Linked DNA regions of Arabidopsis thaliana. The protein of the gene in region 2 purifies or fractionates together with the protein of the main gene of each other region. This does not show direct contact. Each region holds a gene or a part of one and is shown on either strand. Other genes may lie near its edges.

The links.
Region 1: the proteins of AT3G54360 (region 2) and CAT3 purify together in Arabidopsis thaliana (affinity purification with western blotting; one study listed by BioGRID). This does not show direct contact.

Annotation. Positions count from the first base shown.
Region 1 is NC_003070.9:7,141,242-7,147,066, forward strand, and holds CAT3 (catalase 3), read left to right. Parts: upstream 1-1,891; 5' UTR 1,892-1,900; coding exon of another isoform or gene 1,901-1,915; 5' UTR 1,916-2,672; coding exon 2,673-2,864; exon of another isoform or gene 2,865-2,965; coding exon 2,966-3,062; exon of another isoform or gene 3,063-3,217; coding exon 3,218-3,495; intron 3,496-3,587; coding exon 3,588-4,364; coding exon of another isoform or gene 4,365-4,449; coding exon 4,450-4,539; coding exon of another isoform or gene 4,540-4,566; exon of another isoform or gene 4,567-4,638; coding exon 4,639-4,800; intron 4,801-4,892; coding exon 4,893-4,952; 3' UTR 4,953-5,299; downstream 5,300-5,825. Other genes in the region: CAT1 (catalase 1), read left to right, coding at 5,571-5,585. UniProt on the Arabidopsis thaliana protein: Occurs in almost all aerobically respiring organisms and serves to protect cells from the toxic effects of hydrogen peroxide.
Region 2 is NC_003074.8:20,127,592-20,133,873, forward strand, and holds AT3G54360 (zinc ion binding protein), read right to left. Parts: upstream 4,323-6,282; 5' UTR 4,171-4,322; intron 4,011-4,170; 5' UTR 3,991-4,010; coding exon 3,602-3,990; intron 3,515-3,601; coding exon 3,280-3,514; intron 3,161-3,279; coding exon 3,015-3,160; intron 2,381-3,014; coding exon 2,293-2,380; intron 2,212-2,292; coding exon 2,065-2,211; intron 1,293-2,064; coding exon 1,143-1,292; intron 1,042-1,142; coding exon 979-1,041; 3' UTR 963-978; exon of another isoform or gene 702-962; 3' UTR 536-701; downstream 1-535. Other genes in the region: AT3G54363 (uncharacterized protein), read right to left, coding at 4,648-4,944. UniProt on the Arabidopsis thaliana protein: Has holdase chaperone activity that may fold catalase to a functional structure. Not required for the peroxisome import of catalases. Required for the activity of catalases and acts mainly at the post-transcriptional level.

The sequences.
Region 1 (5,825 bases), on a different chromosome or scaffold from region 2:
TTTTGTGTCAAAAAAAAACGGGGGCTATGATATTTTTTACATAGCTACAATTTCTTTTTCTTTTTTTGGGGTGAATCTAGATATCAGGCTTGGGTTCATTATTACTTCAGGTTTAGGATTAATATTGGATAGCATATATATCCTCTAATTTGTAATTAACTCAACATTTGATAACACGAAGATATATTCTGTGATTTGAAATTATCTATCATCAAAAATGGAGCCAATAACTTTGAAACAACACGTTTTACCAGTGATAGTAACACCACATTTGGTTATGTCATATGTGCTCCACGTGATGTGGTCCATGTGGATACAAAATAACACACACACAAAAAACTGCATTTGAGTTATTTTAGTCATTGCACTTAATATATATGCGGCATACTGGAGAGGATTAAAAGTCCTAATAACTCTAAATGTCTAAATTATAAACAAGTAAATTTATAACTACGAGAGTATCTCCCTACTCCACTTTTATCTCTTATAGCTTATTGGATTGTTGTTTTCGTAACAGAGCTACTACAATGTTTATGGAGGGGGGCAACTGCGCAATATGTCCTTTAAAGAAATATATAAAAGAATGCGAAATGAATTCTGTTAAACGGAGATAGATGAAGATTGTCTTCTAATGATTGCCACTTTCTGAGAATAGTATGTTACTGTTGATTGTTGTACCTAGCTCTAGTTGTAAATAATAATATCAAACTAAGTAACAAGAGCAACTTGTTGACACTAAAGGGACCCCAAGTTACCCTCAATCAAAAATTGTGGATCAGTTCATCATCGAAGTAACGTGTTAATTATCGTCATATGCTCCACAACATCGACTCCCCACCATACCCACTCAATAATGTCAATTCAGCTCTCTCTTTTTGTATTTTTATAAAGAATGTATTTAAATTTTCAACCCATAATTTATAGATTCATGATCATCTATTAATAATTCATTAAATACTTTTCTGCATATTGATTTATTTAAAAGCCGTACGCAAGCTCAAATCGGATAAGACTAAAATAATATCACCCAGTTAAGTTAACTAACTTATTTTATTTTGAATAGTAGTATTAATTACTTTTGTTCAACTACTCCAATACTGTTTATATCCTTTCGACGGTATTAGTTATTTTCATGTTTCACGCATTTTTGTAATTGCAAATACAGACACCTTTGTTGTAACACATGTTGATTAATTTTCCGAAACTATATACTTTTGAAGACAAAAATTTAAAACAAAGAAACCTCAGATCTACAGTTCCACCTCGTGTCTGACACGAGTTTCTATGCGATAAGATCGAACATGTATATCAGCAGACTTTACTATAGATGAACTCATATTAGTAATAAGATCCAAATACGGAAATAAACAACTTGGAAAGTGAATGGAAGTTTTAAGAGAAAAATCATTTCTAGAATTATTTTTTAGATCATTTCTTTTTTTGGAGCATCCATTAGAGTTTTGTTTTTAGACTTTATGATTTATTTTTCTTTTGTTATCAGCACAATAATTGATTTTCAAAAGATATTGTATCTTTTTTTTATCTCTTGAGAAGCACAGCACAACAACGAGCAATGCTGACTTGTCGGGGTCAGCGATTATTATTAGTCACCGAACGAATTTTTCTTGGGTTGGAGCCAAAACCTAGCAAAAAAATATCTAAGTGGGGGCACTACATTATTGTTTTAACACCAAGGAAAAGTAAACAACAATGGCCCATTTTTACTGTATCGAGAAATTGATCTCGAAAGGACAAATGTACCCTTCCACTTCGGGAATCCATTATTGTGCATAACACACGCTGTTTCACTATATATACTTTCACATAGGATCTCAACACTCTCACTAAACCAAAATCCTCAAAAGCCTATTTGGGGGATCATCAACCTTCTATCATCACCATGGATCCTTACAAGGTATCTTCGATCATATTCTTCTTACTTTTTCTTTGTTTTTGTGTGGTGTATGTGTATCTTAATTAGAATTAGGTTCAACTATATATGCTCGTTTTCTAAACTATTTTTTAATTGGATTGATGTTCTTAAATCTTAAGGGTCAAAATACTTTTTATGCTCAAAAACTTACTTAAATTCTGTGATCGCTTGAACCTAAGTTGATGATGTTGATTTCTGTTTTGGCTGGCTATCTTTAATTAAAACGTTTAACCACTGCGTGAGAAAGACACGCCACATGTGGTTTTTGTTGTTTTTTTCCTTAGATTAGAAGTTATTTTGTTGTTGTTTTTTTTTTTATTATTATTACACACATGTGTTCTAAAAATCGGACGTTCAAATGATATAATCGATTGTTTAGACGTCCGACCGTATATTATTTTAGTGATATCAGCCAAATCAGATTAAGTAATCATCAACAAAATGATTGATCAGATCTACTAAACACCTGAGTAATCAAATCTACACGTTTGATTAATCAAATTAAATAACCGATCAGTTAGATCTATACATATGATAAATCTTTTTTTACAACATTCGGTTAATCAAACCATTGTCGGTCGATCTATCAATACAAGTGTATTTTTTTTTCACATACAAAAAAATTATCTCACCGACGAAAAAAAAATAAAAAATTATTATGTAGATCCATCGAACAAAAGGCTTGAATATACGGAAGTCACTTAAAAGTGTAATAATCGAATAAATATTAGTGGATAAAATGAAATTTATCTACAACCCTACTCTCCGACATGTTACTGTTTGCGTCATCAAATCTAAAGCCTTTTTGGCAAATAATGGTCGGAAGACTACTCGTGTCGGGATGGACCACCCGGATCCGATCAGGAAACGGGTTTTGATATGTTTCGGGTTACGACAAAAAATTAGGGCTTTTTATCAAATCAATCAGTTGGTAGTAAAATTTTGTGGATTGTTCTTGTCGATTCCGTTTGATTGTTGACCAAATTTCTTCCTGGATTTTGTTGATAATCGATCGTATAATGGTGATTGCAGTATCGTCCTTCAAGCGCGTACAACGCCCCATTCTACACCACAAACGGTGGTGCTCCAGTCTCCAACAACATCTCTTCCCTCACCATCGGAGAAAGAGGTATCGTAACCCTGAATTTCAAGAGTCTATCAATAAGAATCGGAACTTGTTGGATTTATGAAAGAGATAAAACTGAGATATAGAGTCTAAGCTGAGATCTTGTTCGTGAAGCGTGATGTGATTATTTTTAACATGTGTTACTTCGTAATGGGCAGGTCCGGTTCTTCTTGAGGATTATCATTTGATCGAGAAGGTTGCTAATTTCACCAGAGAGAGGATCCCTGAGAGAGTGGTTCATGCTAGAGGAATCAGTGCTAAGGGTTTCTTTGAAGTCACCCATGACATTTCAAACCTCACTTGTGCTGATTTTCTCAGAGCCCCTGGTGTTCAAACTCCGGTTATTGTCCGTTTCTCCACCGTTGTCCACGAACGTGCCAGTCCTGAAACCATGAGGGATATTCGTGGTTTTGCTGTCAAGTTTTACACCAGAGAGGTATAAGAAAAGATTCAAAGTTTCCATTTTTAATCGTCTTTTAGCTTCTTTAGAATCAGGACTGATTTTTGTCTTGTTACTGTTATGATCAGGGAAACTTTGATCTTGTTGGGAACAACACTCCGGTGTTCTTCATCCGTGATGGGATTCAGTTCCCGGATGTTGTCCACGCGTTGAAACCTAACCCGAAAACAAACATCCAAGAGTACTGGAGGATTCTGGACTACATGTCCCACTTGCCTGAGAGTTTGCTCACATGGTGCTGGATGTTTGATGATGTTGGTATTCCACAAGATTACAGGCACATGGAGGGTTTCGGTGTCCACACCTACACTCTTATTGCCAAATCTGGAAAAGTTCTCTTTGTGAAGTTCCACTGGAAACCAACTTGTGGGATCAAGAATCTGACTGATGAAGAGGCCAAGGTTGTTGGAGGAGCCAATCACAGCCACGCCACTAAGGATCTCCACGATGCCATTGCATCTGGCAACTACCCCGAGTGGAAACTTTTCATCCAGACCATGGATCCTGCAGATGAGGATAAGTTTGACTTTGACCCACTTGATGTGACCAAGATCTGGCCTGAGGATATTTTGCCTCTGCAACCGGTTGGTCGCTTGGTTCTGAACAGGACCATTGACAATTTCTTCAATGAAACTGAGCAGCTTGCGTTCAACCCGGGTCTTGTGGTTCCTGGAATCTACTACTCAGACGACAAGCTGCTCCAGTGTAGGATCTTTGCTTATGGTGACACTCAGAGACATCGCCTTGGACCGAATTATTTGCAGCTTCCAGTCAATGCTCCCAAATGTGCTCACCACAACAATCACCATGAAGGTTTTATGAACTTCATGCACAGAGATGAGGAGGTACGTCTTAGTACACCACTTGAGCTACCATTGTTAGTCTTTTTACTTGGAATCAAAATTCTCATTTGGTTTGTACTTTTTACAGATCAATTACTACCCCTCAAAGTTTGATCCTGTCCGCTGCGCTGAGAAAGTTCCCACCCCTACAAACTCCTACACTGGAATTCGAACAAAGGTCCGATTCCTGCCATGCCTTCTCTAAATCTTCAAATCCTAAACTCAAGTTTATTAGAATATTGGTGCTAAGAAAACCTTTTAATTGCTAATGTTGCAGTGCGTCATCAAGAAAGAGAACAACTTCAAACAGGCTGGAGACAGGTACAGATCATGGGCACCAGACAGGCAAGACAGGTTTGTTAAGAGATGGGTGGAGATTCTATCGGAGCCACGTCTCACCCACGAGATCCGCGGCATCTGGATCTCTTACTGGTCTCAGGTCAGAACAAAAAAACACTCGGTCAAATTTCTACGTCCTTTTTACCAAGTTTCAGCAAACTAAAACATTATTTATCTCTCTGTATCTCTCAGGCTGATCGATCCTTGGGACAGAAACTTGCAAGCCGTCTGAACGTGAGGCCAAGCATCTAGAGGCCAATCTCCATATAAGCTCAGTCTATGTGAGGTACAATCAATCTCATCGATCTATCATCGCTTGGTCGTTAAATCCGTCAAAAAGATAATCACATGTGTTGTTGTTTCTTGTCTATATAATAATAATGCTTGTAATCCCAAAAACTCATGTTTCCTTCCTTTCTACTCTCACTGTCTTTGTAATCTCTTTTTACAATAAATCAATGTTTCTTGAAGCAGTAAACAATTTCTAAGATTTATGGTGGTCGTTATACATATTATTAATTCAGGAAAAAAAAGAGAAGATACCGTAATTGAACATGTATTATTTTAAGGAGAATCCTGAAATGGATCAACAATTGTCTAATTATGGTATAGTATCTGGCGAAATCAAAGACGATATCATCCACACGTAATTAGTTTGACTATTAATACGAGGATTATCATTTGGATAAGGATTAACAAAGACAAAACACATACGTGTTTTGGTGTTGAGCTAAAATAAGATATTTTGGCTCTCGCTATAAAAAAAAAATCGACAACAGTGCAGACACACGCCGATTTGCGAGATACACACAGTCTCACCTAAAAATCGCAAAAGAAGAAAAATTCGGATCAAAATTGTCTTCAAGCATCATGGATCCATACAGGGTACATCGATTGATTCTCTTTTTTTGTAATCTGTGATTTTACCTTACTTGATTTCGTATCGATTTGGTGTGATTTCGTGTTGAATCCAAAGTGTATGAATGATCTCTCTCTCTCGGTTAAAATGATGCAAAATTGGGGTGATTGTTCGACTTGTTGAGGTTTTTTTGTGTGAATCGATTTCTTTATTATATAGTGGAGATTGGGTTTCGATTTGCATGCGTTGAAGATTCCACTGGAAAA
Region 2 (6,282 bases):
CAAGATTTTGCATGATTGCTTGAATCACGATTGATTAGAGGCAAGAATTTTTGTGAATTGATAAAATCAGTACATTGTTTCATAGCAGTTGATGTGAAGTACATTTTTTGGCGGAAAAAATCATTTTTTCATTTTGTTGATTTAAGTATTTTCAAATAGAAGCAAAATAGTCATTAATAATTAAAAGATAATATCAATAAAAATGATTACATGGGAGGATAGTACTAAAAAAACATATTTTTGGAAAAACATTCTTAACAATTTCTCTATATCTAATACGTAAAAACATAGTTTTACATACGAAGTTAAAGATTTAGTTACGTAATTATATGAACAGTTAAAAGACGTGAACATATTAAAGAAAAAAATACTGAAAAAAGCTTTACAAATAGAACGAAGTTGACCTAATTTTGTTGATTATGTAGATTTATTTTCGTAAAAGTGACCTAATTTTGTTGATTCGTGCGTTGGAGTTAGTATATCTTTGTCGTTTGCATAGTATCATCGGCTTTAGGGATTGACTATGTTTATGTTTTTATTTTTGTAAGAGTAGTTACAAGAAAAACTTCATTCAACAAAACAACAAAGACAAATTTTTGTTGTCGCAATTTATACTCTTTGTAGCTGATTGAGTTTGCAAATACTTGCATTTTCCTTTCACATCATCTCTCAATCTCTGTTGGGTTCTTTCTCATTTTGCACTGAAAAGAAATAGAAAGCAGTTCACAGCTGTAGCCGCTTAAGATATCTTAATTTTTAAATTTCACAAGTGCATAGAGTACAATCATGCTTAACAATTTAACATTGCAAGATTAGTGCATTGAAAGTTGAAAACCATCACAATTCACAACATACAGACAACTCTGTTTCTTTGTCCCTTGAGCGCAAATACAACATTTTTGCTTTCTTTATTCAGCAAAATGCCACAGACGAGAACTTAGGTATAATTTCTATATACGTACTTAAGCCTGCATCGGTTTAGAGTGCAGTTTCAGCATCGGTTTCTACTTGCTTCTTAAGGAACTCCAGTACAGAGAGCCGCTGCATGCATGTTAAAATTACATTTGTCAGATAAAGTTTTACTGACATTCAGCAGCTTTGGATAAGATACAAATAAAAAGGGAGTCGTGCAAGAATCTTACCCGTTGCTCGAGAGCAGAATCTTCAGAGTCCAGTTTCAAAGATTCCAGCAGTCTCATGCCTTCCTTGAACCCATCTGTCGCTGCAACTTCATTTTGTAGAGTCCTGTCTATATCCGCAACTTTGGCTAAGGAAACAGCCACATCCAGAATCTACATAAAAAATGTAGAAATAACAAAAGAAATCAATTTCTACTTCCGGACAGACCTTTGCTTACTATATTTGAGTTCCAATTTCTCTAGGCAAGAAATCAAGTATAAAATAAGAAAACAAAGAGAAGATTTCCAACCAACAGAATAACCCAATTACAATGCACGTAAATCTAATTATATGTATCCAAAAGAGAGTAACTTTATCGCAGAGAATTAAATGACACCTCATCCAAGTATGTATACTGCAACGACAACACGTCAGTTACCTAAACCTCAGTTCAACCCAGGCAACAAAATAGCAATTGACTTGAATAAAATCTAGGAAACTATTTAGAGAATTTCTCTGAACATTCATGGTAAAGTAACAAATAAGTAAAATGAAAAGAGTGAACCAAGAAACCCGCTTGAACACATTGAGAACAAGTATACTATTTTCACTTTACATCGTATTTCAGATCCTTTGATCCACTAGCACCTTAAGTTAATCTCTATATCTTTTAATGCATTTGAATTCATTTTGCCTGGACCCAAATGAACACCAAGATGTAACAATCACATAAATAAACGCTTTCTGCCTAGAGAGTGAGAGATTACGATCTACAAAAGAGCCTTCACGAATGCTACAATAAGTCAATAACTTAGCTAACAACAGATATTTTTCTGCGAGACCTTGAAATGTATATGGCGACTAAGAGTAGCCAGTTCAGCTAACCAAACATTGGGACAAAACAAAGAAGAGCAAAAACAGAAAACTGTATGAGGGCACACTTACTTGTGAAGGAGCATTTGGGTGGTGCTTCATTGCATCACGTCTGACATTTAAAGCTCTATCATAATACGACCTTGCAGCTTGTAGATCTTCGTCATAATATTTTAGATCTCCTATTTTATTGAGTGAGACAGAAAGTGTATGTGTAATCTGCAAGTTAAGTTAAAATTGTAAGCAAAAAGGTAAAAAGTTTTCAACATCAAAATTTAACAAGAACCAATGTGCTATAACCTCCAAATCATTCAACGGCAGTTTCATAAGGAATTCAACACTCTCTTCAAAATGCTTGACTGCAGAGCTTGAGTCTCCCATCGCTCGGCTGCAACAACAACAAAAAATAATTTAACCATCAAACTTAAGTCCCGGAAAAAGAAAAAATTCAACACACCAAACAGAAGATCAAACATTTTGGCCAAAATAACACAGTTCAGGAGGAGAAAATGATTATGTATAAAGTAGGTTTTTCGAACCAAGCATGTACTGTTGCTTCTCCTTTCCATTTATTCTGAACGAGGTGATTGAACCACAGAGAAAGATGTATGCAAATGATAAGAGGATACAGAAAAATCTGAATATATGAATATATTTCCAGTCAATTGATGTAGACAGGGTCCATCTAGAAAACCAGAATCTAGTTCAAACGAGAAAGAAATTATTTTAGTATTTCCCAAAGTGCCATGCGCACTCTAAGCAAGATGAAAGCAACAACCAGTCGACTTGAGAAACTATCAATTGAGGAAACTGCCAAGGAAGGGCCACATACTTGAGAAACTCCAAATTAAAAAAAATCAATTTGAACAACAAAGTGGCTCAAGCGGGATCATAAAAGACCACATTGGTGACCACATTCGAAAGCACCGTTGTTTTCATAATCTTAATTGTTCACAGAAACTCGAGAATGGATACATCTTAGAAATAAACAACTTGGGATAAAAAAGAAGACAATATCATACCTACAGTCACCAAGCATGCCAAGGACTGCACCAAGCTGTGAACACAACTCTGGTGTATTGCCCTCCCTCCCTAGTTGATCCCGAATGTCCTCGGTACACATTGCCAACCTTGATTTAGCACTTTCATAATTTTGGGCACTAAATGCCTGCGCATACAAGTTGAATTAGAACAAGATCTCACAGCGGGACATCATAACAAATGTAAGTGGTGCAAAAGAGAATAATCCCATCGGTTAGGTCAACAAAATTTAGAGACAGAACTCACCCTCATAGCTTGTTGCACCAAGAAAGAACCTCTTTCCATGGAAACGTCAGCGTAAATCACTTTTTTGTTATCATTTTCGACCTCTTCTTTTTCTGTTCCATTGACGACAGATCTCTTAATTCTAGCATGGCCTTCAATAAATTGATCAACCATCTTCTGAAGGTTTTCATCAACTTCAATACTTTCAATGTCAGCACCGCATAGAGGGCAGTCCTTAAACCGTGTTAAGCATACTCTGCATTCAAGAAACCACAAAGTATAAGAAAAGTAGACCCAATCATGAGCCAAAAAAGAAATAAGCGGCCGAGCAACTATGGCTTACTTGCAGAACACATGTGTGCAAGGCACACATCTACTGCTCTCATATAGAAGTGCTTGACATAACATACAGCTAAAAGGCCCAAGCTTGAATGTTTGAGAGTCATAGCCAAAAGGGCACTTGGCAGGTACCGTTGCAGAATCAGTAGAGTCCTTATTCAAGTTTCCTTCTTGTTCAGGACATCCTTTACTCCCATTTTCGTCAGGACGAGCAGATTTAGAAAAAGGGCAACCAGAAGCCGTCGTTTCCCCTTGCTTTCGAGCAGAGGCATCGTCGGGACGAGCAGCTTTAGAAAAAGGACAACCAGAAGCGGTAATTTCGCCTTGTTTTCGAGTCGACCCATCGTCAGGACGAGCAGCTTTCGAGAACGGGCAAACAGAAGTCGTCGTCATTCGTGAAGGTAGCAACAACCCTACAACACCTCAAAAGGAAAATTCAAAACCTAAATTACTAAAATTGCTTCCTCAAGATGAAATTCGAAATTGATTCTCTAGCTAAACTATCAACAGCTGGAAATCGAACATAGAAGAAGCTAATTCAGAAGTAGCTCAACAGAGAGAGATGGAAAAAACCTGAATTGGATTGGATTGAGATTAGATTTGGAAATGTCTCTTTCGCTGCTTCTCTGCAATCAATCAATGATCGATTGATAGCTCTCTCTCTTCTTTTTTCTGTTTCCGATAAGTTTTTTTTTTTTTTTTTTTGTGCGTTGGAATTGGATGGTGTTTTGTTTTCTCTCAGTCAAACGAAAAATAGATATTACTAAATGGGCCTGCGGTTTTTGTAGCCTATTTAAGAATTTGGGTCACTAGTCAATTTAAGAAAACCGTTGTTCTGGATTATAAACTGGTTGGATTTTTAATATTAATCAGCTTTTTTTTTTTTTTCACTGAAGGTTTAGTTTTATTAAAATCCACATCACAATGGTTACAACCCATTAATGGCCCAAATGGCTACATCACTTAAAGATAAAATTTTGCTCAATACACGTGTCAAACACAAAGATACGTAGATGAAACGTGTTGCAAGAAAAGCTTGGAAACTTTCCGTCATCCTTCGCCGTTAATTACTCCGACTATTGTAAACACAATCGACGCCGGAAAAAGTTTAAGCATCGTTTTTTGTTGTTGCTTGTCACCGGAGAATGTTGAAACAGCTACAGGCAATCTTAATATGCTGGAAACAAGTCTTCTTTCATTACATTGAACATAATTACCGATGAAGATTTGTTGTAACCAAAGATCTGAAGAACCAGTTTGAGAACATCCAAGAGAAAAAGCAGCAAATCCACCCGATCTGGTCGGATTAGATATCCGCATAACCTCACTGGAAACCACCGGAAACATAAAACAAAACAAAACTCAAGGAGCTAGTTGGAGACCACCGTTGAACGAGAAATTGTTAGGTTGGCACCACCAAACATAGATCAGAGAGATTTTTAAAAGATAAACTAAAGAGGACTAAAAGAAATCGGCATAAAACCGATTCACGGCAGCGATTCACGGCAGATGAAAATACCAAGCCAGCCAAAACCGCTAATGGGAGCCGGATTTACTGGACGAAAGCCGACCATCGCCGCATACTAAGCCGGTGGATGTCGGGCTGAAGCCAATTGAACCAATTGGACGGCCTTATCGGAAAATTGTAACAGACGGTTTTTGATACTACTAATATTAATCAGCTAACATAAGTAAACAATTTTTAATATTCAAAAAAAAAAAAAAAAAAAAAAAAAATATATCCTCTTCCTTCTCTCTTAAAAACAAAAGCACCGCTTCAATTCCGCCGGCGTTGTGAGCCACCACGGTCATGACGTCGGTTTGGCTTTTTGGTTTATGTTCAGTTATGTCTCTTTAAGTTGTGGTTAAGGAGATTTCTGGGTTGGTTTCGATTTCGTTTCCTCCTCAATTTCTCTTATTAGATCTATAGTTTCGATTGGTGATTTTGCAAATTAGCGTGGTTTTCTTCTCTGACTAAATACTCCCTGGCCTAATCACGATCGCTCTATGCCACTCACTGTCGGTGTTGTGGTGATTCGGGTTGGGTGACCTAATTTTGGGTTTCCTCACACAGCTTCAACAATACGGATCTAGGGCGAAATCCGCCCAGATTTTGGGTTCTTTCTACCGGTTCAAGTCGCATAGTCGATATCTCCGGCCACGGCGTTCTCGACGGTCTCTGCATGTTTAGCTGAGTTTCCACCGTCTGCCATCCAAAGTATCCCAAGGTTTTTCTTCTGAAGATTTTTAATTATCAAGTAAGGCAAGAAGATCAAATTTTCTTAAAGTGGGTGTCTCAATCTCCGACGAAATCTCCGATGCCAGTTAATTTTCGATCTTGGTTTATTTGGTTAAAGAGAGAACTATGTTTATGTGTAAAATCATCAATCATGTTTTATTTTGTCTTTCTACGTCGTTTCCCCATGTCGGGGCTTAGTGTCGGGGTTTCATTCCTCGCCGGCTTGTGTACCGGAGGATTATATCCTGCCGGCTTTGTCGTCCCGTAATTCACTCGGGTTTATGTATCTGATATGGTTTGTGCTGATAATAAAATTAGCTTTGTGAAAAAAAAAAAAAAGTAAACAATCAATCCTTTAACCGTATCCGGTCGGATATTTTCTAAGAAATGGTTTAGTCACCAAAATGTCATAACCAGTTGAACCCATTCAAGTTCTGTAGTTTACA